Linked DNA regions of Arabidopsis thaliana. The protein of the gene in region 2 interacts with the protein of the main gene of each other region in a pairwise test. Each region holds a gene or a part of one and is shown on either strand. Other genes may lie near its edges.

Region 1 (4,904 bases), 4.2 Mb from region 2:
ATAATATATACCAGGCTGCACCAAGCACCTGTCCCAACAAAAACATTGTAGCTTTGATTATCATCACATTTAAGGAATGAAATAATGGAAGAAGAAGGAATGGGATTCATACATGACTAGCCAGCATGTATAGCAAAAGATTATAAGCAGCTCCAGCCCAAGCAGTCTTTGTAACAACTCCAGTTGCTTTAACAATTTGAGAACTTAACGGAATTATCAAATAGAATCTTGGGATGTATTGGAGGAGCACAATCAAAGCAATAGCATTGTTGTTATGATCAAACCGGTAACTTTTTGTAGTCGATATAACAAACCAGATAACTATCTGTGGAAGTGGTAACGTCGCAATGAGATCGATGATGAAGTCAGATTTAATATACCTCCAAGCAATAGCCTTAGGATCCATCACAAGCTCACCTCTACCAAACACTCTAGTACTTGAATTAGGCGCAATGAAACCAGTCCTAAACTTAATGAAAATGTGCAGCAAGTAGAAAAGATCCGCTATTGTCCTGAAGAAAGTAACAAGGATGCTTAAACTTGTATCAGTCCTTGCACAAGGATAGTTTTTATCTCCTCCTATAGCTGGGACAAAGAAGTACAACGGGTCGATGAAGAGAGCAACCATACATGAGACAATGAAGACCCAATTCCATTTCAAGACAATCTCACTTCCTGGATCAAGAATAGTCTTGTACCATGAGACTTTAGAAGATTTGGACTTAGAAGCATCAGTGTATCTAAGTCTATTTCCAGGTAAGAGATTATCAGGTCTTAGTGCTGAAGGTAAAGAGAGCTTATAAGATTTGCTCATTGGATCATTCACTGCCCATTTAGCTTCTTTGCTTTCTTTCCCCTCTGAGTAAAACCTACAAAGCAATACACAACTCAAATCTGTAATCTGAAACCTAACTAGAGATTTAAGTTAAACCCAGTACCCAAAATCGGAGCTTGAGCTTGTAACATCTAAAGAAGAGATAAATCTAAAGCAAAGTCTAGAATTTTTAATTTCTGGGCAATCAAAGTTGAAGACTTTCAGGAACGTAAGTCTAACCGACGGATGAGAGAAAGAAAACTTACATAAGAAGCTTGTCCTTCCTTAACTCCATTAGAAGAAGCTCAAGCTCAAGCTCGAGTAAACAAATCTATGCAAATTAGAATTAACAGAAGCTTTTAAAAATCATTTCTTTGATTCGTGTCTCTGACACTCTCTCACTCTTACTCTCTCTAAATCTGAGAAAGATCGTGTTTTTGTTTAGTTCTTCCGGAGAGGATTGGAAGAGGAGAATCACTGAGTCACGGGACGAGTCAGAAATCGGAGGGATATTTGTTTTTTTTTCTTGGGAATACTTGAGCCATCGGTATAAGACAAGAAAGTCAACACATTTGACTAAAGTGACATTATTTCGTTAATCAAAGTCATTATTAGTTTACAATACAAAACACTAATTAGACAATGTTACTTGTTACTTCACAAAAACACTTCTTTAGTCTTATAGTCAGATCCAATCACAATCACTTTCTCCGTGTGAGTCACAATCTCACATTCCAATCAGAAAACGATTCTTTAGCCTCCTTTATTTTTATGTTCAATATAAACTTTTGAATCACACACTTGAAAACATAGTTGACATAACTTTGGAGGTGAAGTAGGTAAATTAAAATCACATGAACCAAGCTTTACTTAGAACTTATACTTCATCATGGACAAATTGAAACAGAAACATTGATGATTAACCACTGAATCTCAAGTGAAATTATGAGAAATCATTAAGGTAACATAAGCAACATGTTTAAAGTGACAAATGGACAACATTTCTATCAGTAATTGACTAGATTGAATTTAATAATTGGCATGATAATCAAACCTCAAACTAAGTTAAATTCTACAGAAACCCATCATTCTCTTATTGGATCAAATTCATCAAACGGTGAAGAAACAAGCTTTCAATTGTGAAGCCGTGTAAAAAAAAAAAAAAGACACTGTACATGACTATTGATGAAAACCAAAATTGCTGCTAAATATGATAACAAACTAAACACACTTTCAAATCTAATTATAAAACCACCGATCAAAAAATTTCACCTTGTGGTCTCCATCTTCTTCCTTCTTCAAATCTATAAACCCTATCCCTACAAATCGGACAAGTCGAGACTTTAATCAACCACAAGTCCACACACTTTCGGTGAAACACATGTCCACATCGAGGCAGCTTCCGACACCACTGTCCTTGTCTAAATCCATCGATACAAACAACACAATCATCGCCTCCGTACTCTGAACTAGGCTCACAATACTTGAATTGAGGAAGCCTCTTCACGCATCTTGGAGATAACCCATCTGAGTATTCGTGACGGCGATGGCGGCGGAGACGGTGGCGATAGTTTCGTTGAAGAAACCAGTAGAAAGCGAAGAAGAAGGTGAAACCGAGAGACGTGAGGATAAAGATAAAAGCGGTTATAGCTACAGGGATCATGATTAGACCTATGAGGAAGTTAGAGAGAATCTTCGTCGGTAGATTCTTCGTGTTCGCTTTTGGCGGCGGTGGAGACGGTGATGGCTCGCGGGAGATTGAGCCATCGTAGGGAATCGTTATCGACATCGACTTGCGGCGGAGATTAAAAATATTCTCTTTTACGAATCAAACTCTAATACTCTGTTTTAGGGCTAAATAAAGGAGAGATTTTTATGGATTTTGAAGATCGAAAATTTATCGGATTCAAAGTATATTGTACAAAAGAGTTTGTCTGATAGATATTTATATGCGGGAATATTCGGACATCTTTTTTATATCAGTTTTTGACGATAACTTTTTAACTAGTTTTGGCCCTTATGAGAGGAACTCGTGAGCAAAGTCTTTTTTTTTATATACCAAATTTTTCATTAAATTGATTAAATTTAACTAGAAAGAAGAAGATTAAGCGTATATAAACACAAATACACAGACACGTTTTAAAACAATGGGGTTCTGATAAATTATGTTACTAAATTTTGATCATACAGAATGTAGTTTGGCGTTACAAGAAAACTAGAGGAGAAAACAAAGGGCGAAACCAGACTTCATTTAAGGATAAAGTATTGGTGATGAGATTATATAAAATAGGGTTCAGTTTTGGGTTCCAATTATTATCTCTGTCCTCTGAGCTTCCTATCTGGTAATGCCGAGTGGGAAGTGATAAGGACAATCCGACAAGGGCAGCTTCCTCGGTAACTCCATTCCTTATGTCACCATACCTACCTTTACATTCAGAAATTCTTTGCATCATTTTTAATATTATCTCGTTGTTTCTCACGTTTTATTCCGGTTCATTTTGCGGTTATGATCCGGTTATCTTCGTGGTTGAGCTTGGTTTAGAATAATGTCTCTTATCGTCTCGTTCGGCCCATTAACGCTCGCCTCATAACTGTTCCATATGTACTAGTCCATAAATATTGATTTCACTACATTTAGGACCTATAAAAGGAGAGTTTTTTTCCTTTTGATGAATTGTTTTTATGAGATTGTTCATATAAATTTACGTGGCAAATTTGATCAGCGTAGTTAGTAAACGTTTTCTGGAGTCTTTGGCTGTAAATTTGCTATCAAATGAGGATAACAATCTTTCTAAACCTTTAGTCAACACAGATAAGAAGAAATTAAATATAACAAATTTACAACTATACACATGTTAAAAAATGGGAACAGTCAAAGATATTTCAATGGCAAACAATTACAATACATGCATATTTAGAGTTAGTCATATAATATATAGCAGATATATAAATAGATATGTCACATTTCAAAGATAAACACTCTTACAAATAAATACGAATCATGAGTAAAAGTATTGTGTTTTTTTCTACCGTTCTTGTTTTTCTCTTCTCTTTCTCATATGCAACTCCCGGGATTGCAACTTTTTACACAAGTTACACTCGTAAGAATTTTTGTGTGTTTTACTACCAAAATTATAAAACAAATACAAACAACAAACTTATCTTATACATTTTCATATCAACCTACAGCGAAATGTTATAAAATCATTTTCTTTTATTTCATGTTTGATAGCATCAGCATGTTACAGAGGTACTCAAGAAGGAGTGATGATCGCTGCAGCGAGTGATACATTATGGGACAATGGTCGAGTTTGTGGCAAAATGTTCACCGTGAAATGCAGCGGACCTCGTAACGCCGTGCCTCACCCTTGCACGGGGAAATCCGTGAAGGTCAAGATCGTTGACCATTGTCCCAGTGGCTGTGCTTCTACGCTCGATCTTTCTCGAGAAGCTTTTGCTCAGATCGCTAATCCTGTCGCTGGGATTATTAACATTGATTATTTTCCGTAATTATTTCTCCCAATCTTTATCACTTAATATTCTTTGTTACTTTAGAAAAGCAGGATTTTAATTATGAGTTTGTTTATTTGGATTTCAGGGCCTAAACGTCGATGAAGCTATCAAGGAAAATAATGCTCAAGTCTAGAAAGTCCTAATGGAAAATGTACACACATCATGACTTTTGTATAGTATTTCAAAATATGAATAAAATCGTCGAGAGCTTACACAGAATAAGATAACCAATCAAAGTAAACTACCATGATAAGAAATACTTACTGATTTCTATTATTTTGATTCTCATTTTGAAAACAAAATATAATAACCATACTTGGTTTTTACATGTAACATAATCTGAAAATGACAGACATATGTGCAATTGAAAATTGGTACAACCATTTTCTTCACATCATCGAATTCGGATATGCAGAAAAAGTGCTTGTGACAAGTTATTTGATGGTTTAATTCCGGTGACAATTTATGTACACTCACATATACCAAATAATGGTTTGCAGGTAAGAGTTTTGCCGAAATTAGCCTGCTCTAACTTGGAGATTGAGTGAACACTCTAAATCATTAGGTATGAAAACGT
Region 2 (5,667 bases):
AGCCATGGAAATATCCTAGCTATATGACTGCATGAGTATGAAGTATGAACAAATCAGCCTTGATAATATTGTTCCTCTTTATCCCACCAGCATCTTAATTAAAAGAATACTGAATTATGTAAATCCATTCATATTGTGACACCTCAAACTTTATAAATTAACCTAAATGAGGTGACCATGTTGGGGAATGGGGGCTAAGTAACTCCATTAGAAGAAGAATGAGATAACCAAGTAAAATTAAAGTGAATCTACAGTTAAACTTCAATATTTTTCGAGATGTAGGTCACCCAAAAACGATACATATATTACAGCATAAATTTGGAAAATGTTAAAGTTAAAGCACAATATTGTGAAGTTTTGAGACTCTAAAATGCTTATAACTAAGCTATAAACATACTGCTTCACTGATGAATGATGTATTTTCTTCACTTCCTTCAATGGTCATGATCATACTCATAGTCATGAAGAGGATGACAAATTAAGAAAGAGGAACATCAATGTACAAGAGGCTTATGTTCATGTCCTATGTGATTCAATCCAGAGCATGGAAATGTTATAATTGGAGAAGCGACAATATGGTTCACGAGAACCATATTTATATGAAAATGGTACGTTACATAGTTTAGTGACCAATGTAAAACAGATACATAGATTAAATAGAGAGATATATTAGTGAGAAGGCATCCTACATTGAGATCACAGCTCGAGTTTGGTTCTTCTCTTCACCAATCCGAGCTGTTATCTCAATGTAGGATGCCTTCTCACTAATAAGATAGAGTTAGGTGAGTGGAGATAAGTTTTTTGTTAGAAGGACACATAATTGGGCTGAAAGTAATGCCCGTACCCAAATCAAGTGAGCCTTCATAAATGGGTCGATAGATATACATTTTCCAAGTAAAACCAGCGCTTTTGGAAATCGACTGAATCTGCATATAAAGTTTATAAACTTCGACTATGTATCTGATTTTGTTTGTTCGAACTTTGACTTTAGTTTCAAGCGAAGACTAAAATTTATTGGTATTGGTTCAATTGGTAGACATATTGATTTTATCAACAGAACCCGGTTAGAGAACTTGTTTAAATTATATACTTAAATCAACTACAAGGATATCAATGCCTAGTAATACTCAAAAATAAATTTGAGATTTAAAGCAGTATGGGACGATATGCAAGTGATTGACAATATTGCCAAGCTAGTAAGTATATTTATAGACTACGTGATTGTGATTAAAGTTCCAATTATTGGTATTTAGATTTGTCGAATATAGATTACAAAGTAAAATAATATATATTTTTCTTTAATTTACTTATCTTGAAAAAGCAGCAAAAGTTTTATTTATTTATATGAGATGCAAAAACATTACACGATATGAACTATACTGCCTTGACAAAATAAAGGAAGATACAAAAGAAAACTATGAATCGTGGGGCCTATCACATTTACATATCTACCAAAAGACATGTTCCTTAAAATGTGATAGATCCACGCAAATCTTTTGTAAGAGAAGATAAAAAACCGATAGAGAATCGAGACGTAAACCTAAAACGGTTTTAGTTCGATAATGAAATCCACATGATTTCAATTCCGCAATATCTGGAGTATTAGTTAAGCCCATTTGGCGATAATCGACATTCCACCGCACCCGAGAAGAGCCGCGATTAAACACTTGAACTGCATTTTGATGCTACCTTGAAGCTTAGGTCCCATGAACTCCGCAGCTAGAAGATCCACGAGTGCCATGTAAATGAGCAATCCAGCGGAGCATGCATTTAGAAGTCCAACCGTGATCAAAGCTTTTGGGCTATTATCTTGGTAAACAGTTGATAGAGCGATCCCTAACGCTATTCCGAATGGTGTTGTTACCGCGAAAAAGAACGCCATAACAAATTTCTTCATATTTGTATACTCAGCCTGAAATTATCTTAAACATTAGATGTTTCATATTTGTATATACAATTTCAACATTTGGCTAAAGATAATTTTTTTTCTTTTATCTAAAGTATATTTACCTGGAGGATACAACCGCCAAGACCCATGCCTTCGAACATTTGATGGAAGCAAAGAGCTGCTATAAGTCCTTTAATGGTGCAAGTGTCACTAGTTGCTCCTAGAGATAATCCAATGACCACCGAGTGAACTATGATCCCAAGTTCCAAGACCTATATATCCGTAGAAAGTTAGATATACCTATGTATTCGGTAATATGTCATTTAAAATACAATGATATTCGGTATGTATATATGTGCGTACGAACCATGGCAATGACTCGGTATCGCAAGAGCTGTGCATTTGACGAATCATCTTCTTTTATTGGTAAGGTAACATCATTTGCGGGGCCGTGACCATGACCATGACCATGGGGCATGATACCAACTGCGTTCTTGCTGGTGTATAGGCTCGTGGCCATGGAGTCAATGGCTAGAGTGATTAGACCCGATAACATAGCGAGAAATCCGGAGAAAGGAAATTTATGCCACGGGTTCTCTTCAAGACATATAGATGACAACATTTCGAAAGAATCAGGTAAAACGTGCATAAAACCGGTTCCAAGGATGATCCCGGAGGCGAAACACTTAATGATAGTGAAGATGTTTCCGTCTGGTTGGAGGAACGAAACGTTACGGCTAAAGAGAGGAGCTCCAACACCAATCATGCTTGCAATGAGGATTACGAAGATTGCTATGACTTTGAGAGGCAAAGCTTTAGCTTTGTTGACGCACGGGTTCGCTGACTCGCTTCCACATTCTTCCGGCGCAGTTGAAGTTGCTGGAGAGATTGCAAAAGAGACAAAAATGAGTACGAGGAAGATTGTTTTCATGAGAAGTGCTGAATTTGAAGCCATTTTTTTTTTTTTTCTTTTTTCTTTTGGATTGTTGTGTGTTTAGATTGTTTAATGTTTGTGTGACTTTGGACTTACTAGATGAATCGGTTTATATAGTAATGTGTGCTGGTTGTTTTCATGCCATTTATTGTCGATGATGACGAAATTTTATTTGATTACTCGTTTGCTTCCAGTGTGAAACGAGAAAATAAAGTAATTAATCGTTCAAAAGGAATAATGATAGAATTATGAAAGTACCTAGCTAGATTTTATTAAGTTGATAGAAAATGCATTTAAACGATAATATAAACTTAATAAAATGTCTTAAATTTGCATATTATTATATTGTACCAATCACTTATGTAAAGTTCTTTTATCCAAAGAAATATGACTCAGTGACAATTTATTTTGTTTAAAATCCATAGTATGATTTTAAAAAATTAAGTATATTTTAAAGTATATTTTATTTAAAAAATTTAAGTATATTTTATTAAAAAAATGTAAGTACATTTTATTTCAATCAGTTTTATCAAGTTATAGTTTCGTAAACATTCGAGTTTTTAAATTTGAAAAAGGCTATATTGGAATTAAGGTTTATATTATCGTTTGAATGCATTGTTCATGCCGTTTGCAGACCGCTTGAAGTCAACCCCATGCGTCTTCTATAGTTCTGTTAGTCAACTCTCACAAACGTTTACTTTTTAATCTTGTACTATTTTTAACTTTAAGCTTAATTAGGTTTATACTTTATAGTTTATGCTACGAGCACAACATCACACGTGACAGCTTGTGCTCAGTGTATGGTTGCAATCCAGTCACCAAAAACACTACATATGAATGTAGATTCCTCCTCCTTTATTCGGTAAATAGATTCCTCTTTTCATAGCTTGATGTCTAGTTTTCAAAAATGACATACATATAAGTCATTTTTCATTTTTGAATTGATTTTTTTTCAAGGTTTAATAACTAAGAAACAACTAAGTTTTTGGGAAAGGATAATGACAAATAGAATTCCATGAAATCGGGTATGAATGTTTAATGTGTCAATCCATGTGCTCCTAAAAAAGGGACATCTAGCTATGAACTTACGCATTTTTACATGAACATATAGTCACTGACTTCATTTATAAGATTATGGGGTTATTGACTTAATGATTATTGGTTTTATGGTTATTAATCTAGTTATCTTTTAGGTAAGGTATTAAGATATTTCAATGTTATAACTGTATACATAATTTCATGTCTATTAGGATTTATGAGTTCTTTTGATTCTCATGTCGTTTCGAAATAATCTTTTTTTTTTTGGTTTTGCATGGTTATATAGAAGAAGGCATAATTAATTTGATTGATTGTCATGCAATTAATCATCAGAATCATAGAAAAAATAGTTGACACAAAATAAATTATAGAAAATATAGTTATCTACATTATCCTGTATATTCAATACTGTCCATGCCGAGTATGTATCCAATATTCCATGGCATGCCTCCTAACTAGTCAACTTCGGTTATAATTTTCACTATTTAAGTTTTATTTCTTTGAAGAATGATTAATAAAATAAGCATCAAACTGGATTTATAATATAGTTTTTTTAAAGGTATAATATTATTAGTTGAGTGGTTTACCTCCCACGTTTTCATATGGTTGGACGAGCACGAAACAAAACGTGCCAAACTCATACTCCACCGACGTGACAAAATGCTTATATGTCTATTCGTTAACTTTGATACAGAAAATAGAATGAACTTGGGGAGATTTTCCATATTGGTGAAATAATTTTCTTTTTTCGGTCGAGAAAAGAAATATTTTTTAATTTGTGTCAATGTGTGATTTCGCTTAATTGTAGACTTCGTTTGTTTTCTCAAATTGCGCAAGTAAAAAACACGAATATATATATATATATATATTTTTTTTTTTCTGAACATAAAATAAAAAATAGATATATTCGTGTTTTTTACTTGCACAATTTGAGAAAACAAACGAAGTCTAGAATCAAACCAAATCAGATATTGACACAAATTAAAAAAAATAGTAAAAATTATTCTAAAAACTATAAACATTTACAATTGTCAGGATGAAGTGTGTATGATTTGAAAAAGATAATTTCAAAACTTGATTAAGGCATTAGTAAAATTGAAGACTATTCAAAGTTATTTAATAGTATGTTCTAAGAACTTATACTTCAAGATAATGCATTTAATCTTTAGAAAGAAATGGTTCAACTTGTTTCAATAGGTTCAGAATTTACAAGTATTTGATATGATTCCAGGTGTATGGAATCAAAACATGTGTGGAAATTTACAAATTAGTTAGTAAGTCTGTTATTGTACTTAAAGTTTTCAACCAAAAAACCATGAAATGGAATGAAATACATAGAATTTATAAGCTTTTTAGCTTAAGCCATTCACACCTACAAATTATGTGTTAGATATAGTACATTATCGAGTTTTTATGGTTAAATAGTTGTCATGAAATATTGTGTAATTTAAATCTAACCAAAGTAAGAAATTTTTCTTTATTAAAACAAGAGACTGTATGTACATTTTCTTGAAGAGAGTAATTTTAAATATAATTGATAGTATTAATTCATATAGCTTTAATTTCCGTGTCACTAGTATTTCGGACCTAATTTTTTCTAACTAACATTGACAATCAACAAACTCCAATAATTAAATACATGTCATTCCAAAGAAGAAAGTAAACATCGCATTCATAAAAATAAATTTACAATGTCATAAAAAGAAATTTCTTTCAAACGCTTACATGCACTATACAAACTAATAAATGAATCAAACTTAAAAACAAAAACTCAAATATACAAAGGCGAAAGTATTTGTCGCCTTGA

The links. The genes of interacting proteins can lie anywhere in the genome.
Region 1: the proteins of IRT1 (region 2) and AT4G30370 interact in a two-hybrid assay, tested with the Arabidopsis thaliana proteins (one study listed by BioGRID).

The regions. Positions count from the first base shown.
Region 1 is NC_003075.7:14,856,671-14,861,574, forward strand, and holds AT4G30370 (RING/U-box superfamily protein), read right to left. Parts: upstream 2,834-4,904; 5' UTR 2,604-2,833; coding exon 2,073-2,603; 3' UTR 1,774-2,072; downstream 1-1,773. Other genes in the region: CNGC17 (cyclic nucleotide-gated channel 17), read right to left, coding at 1-28, 113-869, 1,081-1,109; AT4G30380 (Barwin-related endoglucanase), read left to right, coding at 3,816-3,915, 4,047-4,320, 4,413-4,419.
Region 2 is NC_003075.7:10,704,663-10,710,329, reverse strand, and holds IRT1 (iron-regulated transporter 1), read right to left. Parts: upstream 2,987-5,667; 5' UTR 2,844-2,986; coding exon 2,256-2,843; coding exon of another isoform or gene 2,208-2,255; exon of another isoform or gene 2,171-2,207; intron 2,161-2,170; coding exon 2,011-2,160; intron 1,913-2,010; coding exon 1,607-1,912; 3' UTR 1,315-1,606; downstream 1-1,314. UniProt on the Arabidopsis thaliana protein: High-affinity iron transporter that plays a key role in the uptake of iron from the rhizosphere across the plasma membrane in the root epidermal layer. Acts as the principal regulator of iron homeostasis in planta.